3 linked regions of the Saccharomyces cerevisiae S288C genome follow. Changing the gene in region 3 together with the main gene of any one other region gives a genetic interaction. Each region holds a gene or a part of one and is shown on either strand. Other genes may lie near its edges.

Region 1 (4,729 bases), on a different chromosome or scaffold from region 3:
AGAAACTGTACAAGACGAAGTAAAACATTATGAAGAGACGATATCCAAATTAACCCAGGAGCAACTACAAGTGTTGGAGACAGAACATTCGGAACTGCTAAATCAAAAAAATGAGCAATTGAAAAAAGTGGAGACTATAAACAAAACAATTTTAGACATTGTCAATATACAGAACGAATTGTCCAATCATTTAACGGTGCAATCTCAAAATATAAACCTAATGCTGAACAATCAAGATGACATTGAATTGAATATTAAGAAGGGAAATAAAGAATTACGTAAAGCGAAACGAGCTGCTGGAAGAACTGCTAAAATGACCACTTATGGTGCCATTATCATGGGTGTTTTTATATTGTTCCTAGATTATGTAGGTTAATATCACTTTCATAAGATATGTGTAAAATGGGTTAAAAAAATCAATCTATCATCAACTTATTACTATTCATTTTATATATTAAACAATAAGTATGAATGCCTAGTATAATTTCTTAGTTGTAGGATTACTGGCATGCAATTCTGCCAACTGCGATAACCTTATGATCTATTGATGTTAAAACAATATTGTTGGTAATGTATTTGGAATCAATCACATTAAGAGCAAAGTCTGGTTCTATAATTTCGACTTCGACAATAAGTGACTGATTTGGATTAATTGAGATGTCGTTAGTCCCGAGAATCTTCACCAATTTTACCGCGTTGTGCGTCAAATTATGGTAAAGAAGCAATTCAGAACCCAAGTCAACGGGATCACTTAGCGCGTGCGTTTGTATTGATAATTTTATTAAACGCAAGGCTAACAACTTTAGTGTGTTTGGTAAATTCGGTGATAGTGTATTCGTCTTTCTAGAGTGAATTATTATATCACCCTTACGAATGTGAAATTGCTTTTTCGTGAAGTCTTCGGTATTATGAATCTTAACAAGAACCTCTAAAATGTCAGGGTTCAAACCGACTGATATATTATTTTTTGTGTTAGTCTCCAGTATTTGTTTTGAATTCTTCATTCTTGAAACTATACCATAGTAATGAAAATCTTCATATTGTGTATGAATTTCAATTGTCTGGCCTGATTGAATATATCCGCTGTTGATCAAGACTTTGAGTGACACGTAATTTATCTCCGCTATCGGTTGAAGAACAGAAGATTGCAGTATTGTGCCTACAAATGGCTCTTCCAAAGTTGTTTCTATTTTGTTCATATTATGCTCTACCAATAGATATAGTTGCGAAAAAAATGTCGGACCTTCATACCATTCGGGAACATAATTTATAGAGTCAAATTCTGACTTATACTTAGATTTTGTGATGTTTTCAGTTTTATTCAAATTCGAACCTAATAAACCCGAACACGGGATAAATTGGAATTCTGCGTCTGTCCACTGAAAGTTTTCCTTCAACACATAATTTAGCTCAGACTGAATCATTTCTAGTCGGTGCTTATCCCAACTAATTAGATCTGCCTTATTCAAAAGAATTATCAAGTGCTTTTTGCATGCGGAATTCTTGTTCAAATAAGAGATCACTTTTAAAATTTCATAAATCTGATTATTTGGACCATCTAATGATTTTTCCCACGAGTCATAATTGCAATCAATAACCAATACATAAACTTCAGGATCAAAGGTCAAAATTGAGTTCAGAGTTTCTTTATTGAAGTATTTGATACTACCAGGAGTGTCTATAAGCGTCAAGGTTGATGATGGCGGTAGTAAATCATTTTCTACCTGAATAACTTTCTTAAACATGGAAAATCCATTTTCTCTTTCTGTTTTGGTATTGTCTAGAATGACCTTAAAACTATTTGAAGATGAAGGATCCAAATTACTGCTTTTTTTTTGTAGTTCCCTCATTGATGACATAGAAATTTCGTTTAGATCATATAAAAGATGACCAAGCAAAGTGGATTTGCCTGCGTTTGTATCACCGAGGAACAAACATGTCAAATTCAGAGGATGGGTGGCAATGAATGAATGAATATCAATCGACTCAGTAGGTGGTGTTTGAAGGTTAATTGGTTCCTTTTTTTCGGCCTTGGGCACAGATTTGATATTTAAGTTTTCTAATTTTTCATTGAAAGCATTAAGTTGGGCCGATTGTATTATATCATCAGGACTTGGTCTATTGAAATTCTCAATGGCTACTTTACGAGTTGTTTTCGGCAGGTTACAAGGCACAAAAATACCAAGGAGCTCATTGTTATGCTTTTTTAAGGACAGAAATGATGAATTCTGCGACGATAGCGGTATTGATGTACTCAACGAGTTTTTTTTATCTTTTATGATAAAGTTTGTGAACGCAAAATCGTCGGTTTGATTTATGCATGGATCGTTTTTCAAGAAACAGTAATGGTTCATTTCTTTAATAGCCTTCCATGACTCTTCTAAGTTGAGTTTATCATCAGGCGATTTCCTTTTGGTAGGGAGTTCGTTTTCTTTGCTGTCTAATGTCACTGATTTTCCTTGTTTCTCCAAATCACTATTTGACTTCTTTAAGGCAGACAACTTTAAACTCAATGAAACACTATGCTGGTTCGGGGTAAAGTCGCTTCTTTTTACCTTGTCTTTTGCAAGTAGCGTCTTCAGATCCTTCCTTTTTGTCTCAGCATTGTTATCTTTAGTTTCTCTATTCTTATGTAGTCTTTCTAGTAAGGATGCACTTTTCGATGTACTATGAGACTGGTCCGCACTTAAAAGGCCTTTAGATTTTTCTATTCTTTTTCTTGCTAATTGCTCTAATAACGACATGTCAGGTGGTACTGTAAGTTTCGAAGACCACCTCCTCGTACGTGTATTGTAGAAGGGTCTCTAGGTTTATACCTCCAATCTGTTATAGTACATATTATAGTACACCAATGTAAATCTGGTCCGGGTTACACAACACTTTGTCCTGTACTTTGAAAACTGGAAAAACTCCGCTAGTTGAAATTAATATCAAATGGAAAAGTCAGTATCATCATTCTTTTCTTGACAAGTCCTAAAAAGAGCGAAAACACAGGGTTGTTTGATTGTAGAAAATCACAGCGATGGCAGATTATGATAGTGCGAAATATTGGTCCAAGCAGGGAGCTCGTCGTGGGTTACAGAAAACCCGTTACTACTGCCAAATATGCCAAAGGCAATGTAAAGATGCAAACGGATTTCAATCACATAACAAATCGCCATCTCATTTAAGGAAGATTAGTCAAGTGACAGCTGAGGACGCTAGGCGCTACAATATCCAGTTTGAAAAGGGATTTCTACAGTTATTGAAGCAGCGGCACGGAGAAAAATGGATTGATGCTAACAAAGTATACAACGAGTATGTTCAAGATCGCGATCATGTACATATGAATGCCACCATGCATCGTTCTTTGACGCAGTTTGTCCGGTACCTAGGCCGCGCGGGCAAGGTAGACGTGGATATGGATATTGATGATACATCTGAGAACGTTGAAGGTCCTTTGCTTATCAGGATCCATCCCTCATCTTTATCATCACCTTCTGAAGATGGAATGCTGCGAAGTCAACAAGAGGAGCAAGAAGTCATAGCCGCCGAGCTTTTGAAAAGACAACTCAATCGTGCTAAGCGACAAACTGAAAAGGTATATCAACCAGAGATGAAATCGGAAATTAGCGGGGATAGCACTCTGAAACGTGTTCAAGTCACCTTCCACGGGAATGGTCGGGTAAATAAAAAGAAAAAGAAGGTTCCTCCACGGAAAGATGGTATCAAGTTCCGTTGATTGAAAATTTTTCTTTTCAAGCGATGAGGTTAGCGAAGTTGTTCGAACAAGCCCAAATATGTTTAGAAGGCAGTACGAATTGATACCCTGAACTGTTACTACCCGTATACACGTATTAAGTAAGACAATGAGTAATGGACACGTCAAGTTTGATGCCGATGAAAGTCAAGCCAGCGCAAGTGCTGTCACGGATAGACAAGATGATGTGCTGGTAATATCAAAAAAGGACAAGGAAGTGCATTCAAGTAGTGATGAGGAAAGTGATGATGATGATGCTCCACAAGAAGAAGGGCTTCACTCTGGGAAAAGTGAGGTAGAATCACAGATCACTCAGAGGGAGGAGGCTATAAGGCTGGAACAATCACAATTGCGGTCCAAGAGAAGGAAGCAAAATGAATTATACGCCAAGCAAAAGAAATCAGTGAATGAGACAGAGGTCACTGATGAAGTAATTGCGGAGCTTCCTGAGGAATTGCTAAAAAATATAGATCAGAAGGACGAAGGTAGTACGCAGTACTCATCTTCAAGACATGTAACTTTCGATAAATTGGATGAGTCAGATGAAAATGAAGAGGCATTGGCTAAAGCTATAAAAACTAAGAAAAGGAAGACATTAAAAAATTTAAGGAAAGATTCGGTGAAAAGAGGAAAATTTAGAGTTCAATTGTTATCCACCACACAAGATTCTAAAACATTACCACCAAAGAAAGAATCATCCATCATACGTTCAAAAGACCGTTGGCTAAATAGAAAGGCTTTGAATAAAGGGTAATATATAGCATACAACATAATAAAATAATAGTACAATCACAAAATTAATCATAATGTTCATTTATCTATAATCAAACAATGAGAATATATACTGAAGTTTGGTAGGTTATTCTTCAGAGATGCAGTACGATATCACCAACGGTATGCAGACACCTATCAAAACATAAACGGATTCATCATGAGGTAAAACGACTTCCTGTTCAACGCTGAGATCGTGATCATGAGAATCTCCACCAA
Region 2 (3,357 bases), on a different chromosome or scaffold from region 3:
TATGACCGTTGTGTGTATGGAAGGCCCACAATTCTCCACGCGCGCTGAATCCAAGATGTACAGAATGTTTGGTGGCCATGTTATTAACATGAGTGTTATTCCAGAAGCCAAATTGGCGCGTGAGTGTGAGCTGCCTTACCAGATGATTTGTATGTCTACCGATTACGACGCATGGAGAGATGAGGCAGAACCTGTTACCGTAGAAACCGTTATTGGTAATTTGACGAATAATGGGCGCAATGCAAATATTTTAGCTTCTAAGATCATCGTCTCAATGGCCAAGGAAATCCCAGAGTTCATGCATACTGGCGATGGGCTGCGCGGTTCCATCAAGAAATCTATCTCTACCAAACCAGAGGCTATGTCCAAGGAAACCTTAGAAAGACTAAGATACTTATTTCCAAACTATTGGTAATGGTTGCCGCTAATCATATGTAAAATATAAATAGGAGAGAAAACATATATAGCTATGGAAAGTATTAAATGTTTTTTTGCTGTTTTTATATTTTCCCCCTTGGGGACTGTGAGTTCATCATATATGCATATTTGCTACTTGGAATGTAGCCCTTCCTAGTTACAGGGGTATGCGGCGAGTTATTGTCATTGTTAGCGCTCACTAATGTGCTACTGATACCGCTATGCCTCTGCAGTGTGCCAAATACATTCTTTGTGTGTAAGGATTGAGATTGTAGTTTCGTCTGTTCCTCCGCCATTTCCCTTTGTCTTGCTTTCAAAGGCGTCTCTAAGCCTTTGAAGAGATATGCTGGATGATTTTTGAGATTTGTTTGAGGAATATGTGTTTTGTTCTGTGCCATTTGGCTGATCTTAGAAGTGGATACGTAGTGGGGGTGTTGTGGCTGCAACCCAGTATCGACAGATGATTGCATGTCTACCCCCAGGAGCTTCTTTTGCCTGTCAGTGAGATTCAAATCACTTACTTTGACGGTGGATAAGAGCTTCCAAAGAGAAAACAGTATATTGAGCGAGATTAATAGGTGGAACAAGTAGTCAAGAAGTTCTGCATTCAACCAACTGAACGTGGTGTGATATATGATGTTAGCCTTCTTTAACGTGTGAAATGTCAACATGTACAGATGGATTCTGGATAGCCGGTTGCAAAACTGTCTCCCAACATGAGTGTTGTTCCAAAAGAACTTGATGAACTTCACCAGCAGGTTCCAGAACGCAAACGCAATTACGTTTGTCATAATTCTCTGCGTCTCCATTTCCTTGTTTACCGTTCGCCGTGATAGCTCCTTGAGCACAGGACTTTCAAAGTTGCCCAATTTAAACATTGGTGTGTCATTTTGTGATTGTGATGAGGGTTTGCTGTCTGTGTCCGGCAATGGTCCCGGCACGTCATTATCGTCCAGGCCCAATTGGCCCGCCTGAATCTTCATAGTTCCCTCTATTATTTTTTTGCCTCTGCGGATATATTAAAAGTCTGTATATTGTCAAGTTCTTATAATATAAATCTTTTTGTTCATCATAACCATCTTATTAATTGTTATTATTTCTATCATTATTACTATTAGCACAAATTTCATTTTTTTTTTTTTTCATTTTTCTTTAGACTTTAGCCCTAATTAGACCTGAGAAATATTATTATAACCTGAGAAAGGTTTATAAAAAGAACATTATAACCTACAAAAAAGATACTTAAACCCTGAAGTTAATAGGTTTGGACCCTCTTTTTTTTTTTTTGCTTTTTTTTAGAAAACCTCAGTATTCACAGTCTAAGGAACAGATAAAGAGAAGCTTTATGAAAGCAGTCCACAGTGCCACGAACTTTGACATATATAATTGACTTGTGGGGGCTACCGACTGGCTTATATTTCTAAAATTTAGAGATTTGATTATCTTTTTCGCAGCGCGTAAAAGAAACCCACGAAGCATCGCTTAATTTACACATATTCTTCGTTCTCCCCTTTTGGAGAGGATTTAAGCTAAGATATATCTTTCTTCGAGCGCAGTGCTGCTTTTGAGTTCTTTCGTTTTAATTTTCCACTTATTTGGCAATAAAAACTGAGTGAAGAGTGCTTCTCTGTCTGTTTTAGGGAGCTTTTTCAGATCATCATCAGATGGGATTTATAGCAAATATACTGTGCTGTTCTTCAGATACTTCCAAAACACATCGTCAACGCCAACCACCAGAAACTAATCACAACCGCAACCGCAACCGTAAGCACAGTTCAAACAAAGCTCAAACTCAGGGTCGTAAGCAGAAGGCTACTCCAAACGGCGACAAGATGCAATATTCCACACCGGAGATCCTTTTGTCTAGTTCCGATTCAGGCAGCAATGCGGGTTCCAAGACAATGCAGGAGAATGGGAATAGCGGCAATGGAAAACTAGCACCTTTATCAAGAGATCACTCCAACAACTCGTACGATGAGGAGAAAGAATATGAAGATTATAATGAAGGAGACGTAGAAATGACGGAGGTTAACAATGCCGGAGAAGAAGAAGAAGAAGATGACGAAGCAAAAGAAAAGCAAGACCATGTCGTTCATGAATATAACGTTGACGCAGATAGAAATTCCAGTATTAATGACGAGGCGCCACCACAACAGGGTCTGTATCAGGTGGGTCAAGAAGATATGAATCCACAATATGTCGCCAGCAGTCCTGATAATGATTTAAACTTGATACCTACAACGGAGGAGGACTTCTCTGACCTGACGCATTTGCAACCAGACCAGTACCATGCCCCCGGATACGACACTCTGCTACCACCCAAGTTGCAAGAATTTCAACAGAAAAAATGTCTGATATTGGATCTAGACGAAACTTTGGTACATTCTTCCTTTAAATATATGCATTCAGCTGATTTCGTTTTGCCCGTCGAAATCGATGATCAAGTTCACAATGTCTATGTTATTAAGAGGCCAGGCGTCGATGAGTTCTTGAACAGGGTGAGTCAACTATACGAAGTTGTTGTGTTCACGGCAAGTGTTTCGAGGTATGCAAACCCCCTTTTAGATACGTTGGACCCTAATGGAACCATCCATCATCGATTATTCAGAGAAGCTTGTTATAACTACGAAGGTAACTACATCAAGAACTTATCGCAGATCGGAAGACCATTGTCCGAAACAATCATCTTAGATAATTCGCCGGCCTCTTACATCTTTCATCCGCAACATGCTGTTCCGATATCTTCTTGGTTCTCTGATACTCATGATAATGAGTTACTAGATATTATCCCACTTTTGGAGGACCTTTCATCAGGAAACGTGTTGGATGTGGGGAGCGTGTTGGATGTGACGATATAGATTTCTCAGTAACATAAAAAGCAGGCTCTTTTTATTACCCCCCCCTTCGGTTATATGTTTGGACGAACTCATGTTTCTCTTT
Region 3 (8,165 bases):
GAGGCCATTTAAAGGCGAACTAAACTCCGAAATTTTCCGTTTATGCCTATTAGGTGGCATAGTAACCAGCGGTAACTGCACAGTGTGTTTATTTTCATTACGATAGTGAACCTCTGCTGATTCTTTCTTTATGTCCTCATCAAACTGAGTAAGGATGAAATCTTCAGAATCTTGCTCACCTGGCCCCGCAGACGTCTGAGAGGATTGTTGAGGAGCATTTTTTTCGTGACATAGAATTTCAGCCAGTTTACTGTTAGGTTCTTCGAGAACACATTTATTCCGATTTTGCAGTGCTTGAACACGTTTCGCGATTAAGGTAGTCACGTCATACTGCACATTTAGTAGTTCATCGAGACTGAGCTCCTTGAGAATGGATAAGCTTGACTTTAGATACACATTTTCTTCACCAGTCACCATCTCACATACAAACACCTAATGGCTTACAGCATGGATGGAAATGCAGGTATGTGAACGATAACAATGTTTGCAAACGTAAACAAAAAAGGTATTAAAGCTTAAAAGCTTTTTTTTTGTAGAACGCGCTTAGAAAATGGCATAAAGAAAATGGCTATTTGACTTGATTTTGAAAGTTGTTCTCAAGACTCGAATGGTGGAAGATAACAACAGGACGTTTATTACATGGCATTGCATCAGTATTTATCAGAGACTTATGGGCCCACGAAACCCAAAAATAAGACGAAAAAGAAGAAGAAAGAGTCAAAATCAGACGCTAACTCAGACAAAACTTCTTTGATAGTAAAAGAACGGCTAAGTACACTGCAACAAGAACAGGAGAAGTCAGGAGTTGCTTCATTCAGCAAGTTTGACAAACAAAAAAGCAAGAATATATGGAAGAACCTGGAAACAAACGAGCTTTCCCATGCAATAACACATCCTTCCGCATCGTCAATTACTGGCAACGAAAGCAAGAACGATCTAAAGGAAATCAGGGCTCAAGAGCCACTTGTCACAGTAGCAGACAAATCGAAAACACGAAAAACCATATACAGAGACGCTCAAGGTCACAAGATTCAGGAAGATTCCAAGATAGACGATTCTAGTTTTAGTCGATCTAAATATGAAGATGAGAAAGCCGCGGAAAGAGAGCAATACCTGAAAAATTTGAATATGGGAGACGTGCAAAAGCTTGGAATAAATGTAGATGCACATGATAAGAAGAAAAATCAAACTGCCTCGAGTCTGACGATAGAAGACCCTGCAATAACATTTACACATGACAAAGAAAGAACTGTAAAAACATCTTTACTGGGCCGCAAGCTTTATGATAAGCCAGCACCTGAGAACAGGTTTGCCATTATGCCTGGGTCAAGATGGGACGGTGTCCACAGATCAAATGGCTTTGAAGAAAAATGGTTTGCTAAGCAAAATGAGATCAATGAGAAGAAAGTGCAAAGCTACACCCTACAGGAGGATTATTGAAAATGAGATAATATATAACTATGCGGAAAGCTTTGTGTAAAAAATACCCTTTGACAATCCCCATTTGTTATAAGCTTTTTCTTAACAAGATCAACGATTAAATACAAATACCCCTCTTTATATAGGTCTCAGATATACTATTAAAGTAACCTCGAATATACTTCGTTTTTAGTCGTATGTTCTAAGTAGATTCGTCTTTTTTATTATCACGGTCAGCAGCATTGCTTTGTGACTTTGGCGATTGACATTCAGTAGAGTTTGTGCCAGAAGAAGGTTTAATCTCGCCTTTCCTACTGTTCTTTGTTTCTCCCCCAATAGTTGAACCATTGCTGTGCTGTTTACCATTAATGAATTTTTTCAAATCTTGGCTTTCCTTTTCATTGACAACAATACGACTTCCTTGATCTGAAACATTTGTCATAGGAGGTGGAGGTGGGAAGGAAATCGGTTGTCCAAACCCATGTGGTGCTGGTGGCGGAATAGACATTCCATTCATATTAGGGTAAGGCATCTGGTGAGGGTGTAATGGGTGAAGACCATTAGGATGCGTCATAAAACCTGGGGGAATATTGTACGGCAAACCAACATCTGCAACATCATTCGCTCCAGGAATAGGACCCCCAACCACATTCATTGGGTGAGGTGGAGTTGGGATATTCAAATTACTGCCTATACCATCAGAATATTGATTTGCAACGGCATTGAAAATAGATCCAGCAACAGTTGGATTATCAAGCGGTGCTTTTTCAAAATTGGCCAAATCAACTTGCACGTTTTCACTGCTTTTCTGAGCTGGTCTTTTTAACAAAACTTTCTTTGCGGGTTTGGAATCTTTTTGCGATCCCATGCTCTTGTTGTCTACACTTTCAGAATTCTTTTCATTGGTATCCTTTTTGATAAAATTCAATAAATCATGTGCCCTTTCTTTTCTCAGTTTTTCTTCAGATTGTTGCTTTGAAGGAGTCTTGTGAGCAGTTTTGGTATTATTGTTCCTATTGTTAGATTGCTTTTTCTTTTCCAAAGCCTTTTTGGAAGCCTTGGAGTGATAAATGAACTGCCTGTTAGTAATATTCAATAAGAAAGAGGCATCAAGCCCTAAGCCTCTATTCGTGCGCAACCTGCCGCCAAAATTATTACCGGCCACGATTTCATGATCAAATAAGACCTGAATTGATAATGATGAACTGAGAGTAGTATAGCCAACAACTGTACCCTTTGAGAAAATTGGTACCTTACCAGAATCTTGGATATAAACAACACGGTCACCCAAATCGAACTTTTGACTACGTAAGAGTGCAAATGATGATCTTGGATTCAAAACAGCCTCACGAGGAACTTTGGCTAACTGTTTTCTTTCATGACCTTCGATGTTAGCTGCGTATTTCATGATATGATCTTCCACGGCAGCAATCGATGTCTTAGTTAAGGAGTCAGACTCCAAAGATACCGCGATAAACTTCGATGAGACATACTTTAGCCATTGTTTGATACCATCTAATAAATTCATGGCATCCTTAGTGGAAGTATCGGGGAAAAGATCTTCCAAAACTGGGATATCATTACCTACCTTGGACAACCTGAAAAAAAAATCTGGGAAAGTTTGTCTATACTCTTTCAGTAAATTTAGAGTTAAATTTGAGTATTCCCAGCCCCTAGGGTTCCTCCTCGCGTAACCTAAAACCTTTTGGTGTCTAGCTTCGAACTTAACCGGGATACCAACATTGATATGCTTCCCAGTAGCGTCAGTAATCATGAACTTGGAAGTAATCTTAGACAAAAACAAGGGGTGTAAGTGCATGTTCTTGGACACAATATAAGACGGATAATATTTAACGGCTTGATGATCCATTTGTAACCTTTCTTTGCCGATGGTGGGCTCACTATCCAAAAACTTCTTTTCTACAGTAATTTTTAGTCTGCGGTCACTGCTGTAACCGTCAATAGTAGTTTCACCACCATAGGCATAATCACCTAAGAAAATAACTTTTGAATTCAATGGAAATTCCTCTTCAATAGGAATGGGTCCTCTTTCTTTATATCTTTCATCCTCGTTGACAACAGATTCAACAACCAGTTGCAATGGATAGTAATCTGGGGTAGGGCTAAAGGTCTTAATATAACCACCATCAGAGTCTCTCACCAAACCAGTCACTGGAAAGACGGTAGCAATGGCTTCCATAGGTCCTATTTTAACAGCTTTCTGTTTAGCATACATCCTTAGCATTGAATTCTTCAAACTATTGAAAAGTTTTTTGTCCTGGGTTTCCGCAGGCTTCGTTATGAATCCGAACTTTTTCTTATCATTGGACTCCTGATATTCATAGATAGTCTTACCATCCGTTAAAGAGACCAATTTGGATTCTCTTAAATATGGCCATCTTGTATAAATCACTTTGTTTAAATGCCTCTTGGAAAAGTCCTCCAAAGTAACATTATTCGTTTTGTATATGTCAGTTATTTGTAAGACCATTGATTGTTGTTTAGAAGGTTGTTGGAAAACCATTGTCTCATTGTACTCCAGTGAACTAGTAAATGGTAAAGACAATAACGTGGGGAAACCCGCCAGCATTTCGGCACCGAGTTTAGCATTAGGTAATAAACCATACCGAATCTCGGAGCTGTCCAATGGGATGGTGATGTACTCTTTTTCGACACAATGATTGTGTTCAATATCAGAAAAAATGCCGCCCAACGGACTCTTATAAAGGTTATCAACTTGAGGATTAAAGGAATATATCAAGTCCTTGCCAAATTGATTTCTCGTTTTTTCTTCAGGTGATAACTTGCGCAAATAAGGTTGCATAGCCTCAATCAACCTTTTTTCATCTACAAACGATATCAAAACCACAGCTTCCCAATCAGCTGTCTTGCCGTTTTTATCAAGTTGAACCTCAGCGGGATAGAAATCGTGGATTGGCGACTGTTCATCGTACATTAATGGCCTAAAGGCGGGAGGTATCAGATTTTTGGACCTTTCCGGTAAAACTGCCATTAGTTGCTGGAATGGAGTAAATGGTTTGCTCAAATCAAATTCAATGTCTTGATCTAAACCCTTGGCTAAGTCGGAGATTCTTGGTGCATAATGGTGCGGATAGTACCACGACCAAGATGGACATCCTCTATAATAATAATATAGAACCCATTGTAAACCTTCAACGTAGTCTTTAGCAAGATCTCTCACTTTTTCTTCACTGTCTGTCGTAAATTTTAACTTGTCGTGATAATACTCATGCTTCCAACGTTCAAACCTTTCATTATAAATCGTTTTTTCAGTTTCCAATTCTTCTTTGTCCTCCACGATGATAGCATTTTGATATTTTTTTATTGTTTTCCTGATAGAATTAACACGATTTTGAAATTCTTCTTCTGTTTCATCAGGATTAATAGAATCAAGATCCATTTTTAGCGAATAACTACCTTTGGATTTGGAATGCGTTATAAAAAGACCCAAATCAAAAGCGAATTCTTTTAAAAATTCTAAATGATCTTTCATGTCTAAGTCCTTAGGTAACTCTAAAGTTGGAATTTCTTCATCTGGTAAATCAGGCGATAATTTTTCCTGTAATTGCTCCATCAACCATGGTTTTATACTTCCAATTAATTTCTTCTGTTGTTTTACCAGTAATTTTTTACCAACCCTCTGTCTTTTCCTTTCACCCTCCAAAGAAATATTCTCTAATTGCTTGTTGAACCACTCAACGTCTATATCATCCTTTTCGAAATTTAATAACTCAAATTGAGACAGATAATTTAACCAGACACCTAATCTCTTTAAATTTATTTTACCATGTTCATTAATGTAGCCATCAGTATGTAAAAGAGCTTCTTTGAACGTTTGTAACAAAACGGGAAATGCTCCTTTGTTAAGGTGCAAATCTGGCAAATTGGGCAAGAAATCATTACCAATGACGAACATGACAAGAATAAAATCATCCAAAATACGTTCAAAATTGTATTCAAATTGCATTTCATCGGCAATTTCTTTGAATTCCAACTCCATGTATTCTCTTAATAAAGAAAGATGTAATAAGTAGAAATTTTGATGTTCAAGCGATTTTTTTTCACTATTTCTTCTACCAAATGTCACTTCTTCTCTCAATAACGCAAAATGTGGCCCATGAGTAGACAAACCCAGCATAATCAAATCTGCGTCAAGACCGTAAATACAATGTCTCGTATTCTGGTTGAAATCCTTTTGGGATTTTAAATGCCTTATAAAGTTCATGATCTTGTGTTCACCTTCACCTGGAACTTCATGGCCAGAAAATATGATTTGCACTTCCCTCCATTTGGAATCGTTAGAAATCTTGTCGTGAATAAAATATTGTAAGTTTTTGGTCAATTTGGCCATAAACTCCGTACCTGGAGTAATAGAATTCGAATCAAATGGCTCACCCTTAGGAATCTCGTCACCATTCTCAATAGCCTTCTTCAAGGCTTTTTCTGCATCCATAGCGGTTCTGAATCTACGAGCTCTTTGTTGATTCATCTTGGCACGAGGGGCCACACCATCAATAGCCATGTAGAAAATCTTCTTGGGCTTGATTGTTTGAAAAAGGTGATCGATATACGTACAGATTTTTGCAAAAACCTCTTCTTCAGTTAATCGCTTGGTTACATCATCGTCGTTACCATGCGTACAATTATGTAAAATCGAATTCATATCCAGGTATAAGTTATCAAACTCAGGAATCTGTGTTCCCTCAATAAGCTGTAAAATCATGGGCCATCTTTCTGAGATGTACCTGAAAAATTTTGGAATACCCATACCGTACTGATATATATTTGTTGCTGCTGTTGTTACAAGTGTTGATTTTTTTTCTCCTTATAGTACACGAATCGTCCTAGGATTAGTCAATTGCTTATTGTGAACCCGATTATAAGTACGGAAGAAGACAGTATCCTTTAGAAAATAAACTATTAACAGGAACGGAAATAAAAGGCAGAGAGAAAATAATAAAAGAATCGGTTCGCTTGTGCGAACGCCAAACAGATTTTATAATAACGGAAGAGCTGCTGAAAAAAAAAGCAAGCTGCAACTGTTATATTTGCGTAGATAAACTTTACAACCGGTAATTGGAAGTCGTAAGTACTTAGTTTGACGTTTTCAGTACTCGTTAAACTACTCCTTAAATTGCTTTCTAACCTCTTCTTGTTTGTCTCTGTTGTTACTTGCTCTGCGGTGGCGAAAAGACGAGCAAAGGAGGTTGTATATATCACTCAACACGGAATGTATTACAGCTTTCTCAAATAAATGTAGTTGAAAAAGACCATTAATCGTGAGAATAGTTACTGATCAGGTGATGAGACGATAAAAACAGTAATTGAGAGGGTTTTCACGGGTAGTGGGCACAATGTTTGGATTAAATAAAGCATCTTCGACACCTGCAGGTGGGCTCTTTGGTCAGGCCAGCGGAGCTAGCACTGGAAACGCGAATACTGGGTTTTCGTTTGGTGGGACTCAAACTGGACAAAACACCGGCCCAAGTACAGGTGGACTATTTGGCGCTAAACCAGCCGGATCTACAGGAGGATTAGGTGCATCATTTGGTCAGCAGCAACAACAATCTCAGACAAATGCATTTGGAGGAAGCGCCACCACCGGAGGGGGCCTTTTCGGTAACAAACCTAACAATACGGCGAACACTGGGGGCGGGTTATTTGGCGCTAATTCGAACAGTAATTCTGGCAGTTTGTTTGGTTCCAACAATGCACAGACGAGTCGTGGTTTGTTTGGTAATAATAACACTAATAATATCAATAATAGTAGTAGTGGCATGAATAATGCAAGCGCTGGACTATTTGGCTCTAAACCTGCAGGAGGCACTTCTTTGTTCGGTAATACAAGCACCTCTTCGGCCCCTGCGCAGAACCAGGGCATGTTTGGTGCAAAACCAGCTGGTACATCTCTATTCGGCAATAATGCAGGTAATACGACCACTGGTGGAGGGTTATTTGGCTCCAAACCGACAGGAGCAACGTCTTTGTTTGGTTCATCAAATAACAACAACAATAACAATAATAGTAACAACATCATGAGTGCGTCAGGCGGGCTATTTGGTAATCAGCAGCAGCAACTGCAGCAACAACCACAAATGCAGTGCGCATTGCAAAATCTATCTCAGCTCCCTATTACCCCAATGACACGGATTTCCGAATTACCACCTCAAATACGTCAAGAAATTGAACAACTAGATCAATATATTCAAAAACAAGTGCAGATCTCGCACCATTTGAAGGCCGATACAATCGATCATGATGAATTGATAGATTCCATTCCTCGTGATGTTGCATACCTACTGAAGTCAGAATCTGCAACAAGTCAATATTTAAAGCAAGATTTGAAGAAAATATCCTCATTTAAATCGCTAATCGATGAGGACCTTCTAGACACGCAAACTTTTTCGGTGCTCTTACAGCAACTATTAACTCCGGGAAGCAAAATTTCTTCTAATGACTTAGACAAATTCTTTCAAAAGAAAATTCATCTCTACGAGAAGAAGTTAGAGGATTACTGCCGTATTCTCTCTGATATAGAAACTGCGGTAAATGGCATTGATACAGATTTATTTGGCGCCCCAAATAACCCTAATTCTACAGCTATCACAGCAGATCTAGGTTCATCCGAAGCAGAGAACCTACTGCAGTTGAAGACAGGCTTAGCTGCCATAGTCTCTACTGTCATTGAGGAATTCACACTGTTTATGGATATCGCTGAGAGAATC

The links.
Region 1: mutations in XRN1 (region 3) and SKI7 together harm fitness more than expected from each alone (negative genetic interaction), as found in Saccharomyces cerevisiae (6 studies listed by BioGRID, with this or other methods).
Region 2: mutations in XRN1 (region 3) and POM34 together harm fitness more than expected from each alone (negative genetic interaction), as found in Saccharomyces cerevisiae (4 studies listed by BioGRID, with this or other methods).

The regions. Positions count from the first base shown.
Region 1 is NC_001147.6:468,877-473,605, forward strand, and holds SKI7 (Ski7p), read right to left. Parts: upstream 2,745-4,729; coding exon 501-2,744; downstream 1-500. Other genes in the region: UFE1 (Ufe1p), read left to right, coding at 1-376; RTS2 (Rts2p), read left to right, coding at 3,023-3,721; BUD21 (Bud21p), read left to right, coding at 3,849-4,493; Mn(2+) transporter ATX2, read right to left, coding at 4,599-4,729.
Region 2 is NC_001144.5:178,207-181,563, forward strand, and holds POM34 (Pom34p), read right to left. Parts: upstream 1,401-3,357; coding exon 501-1,400; downstream 1-500. Other genes in the region: MEU1 (S-methyl-5-thioadenosine phosphorylase), read left to right, coding at 1-415; PSR2 (putative phosphatase), read left to right, coding at 2,082-3,275. UniProt on the Saccharomyces cerevisiae protein: Functions as a component of the nuclear pore complex (NPC).
Region 3 is NC_001139.9:173,906-182,070, forward strand, and holds XRN1 (chromatin-binding exonuclease XRN1), read right to left. Parts: upstream 6,209-8,165; coding exon 1,622-6,208; downstream 1-1,621. Other genes in the region: ssDNA endodeoxyribonuclease SAE2, read right to left, coding at 1-417; BUD13 (Bud13p), read left to right, coding at 640-1,440; FG-nucleoporin NUP49, read left to right, coding at 6,795-8,165. UniProt on the Saccharomyces cerevisiae protein: Multifunctional protein that exhibits several independent functions at different levels of the cellular processes. 5'-3' exonuclease component of the nonsense-mediated mRNA decay (NMD) which is a highly conserved mRNA degradation pathway, an RNA surveillance system whose role is to identify and rid cells of mRNA with premature termination codons and thus prevents accumulation of potentially harmful truncated proteins.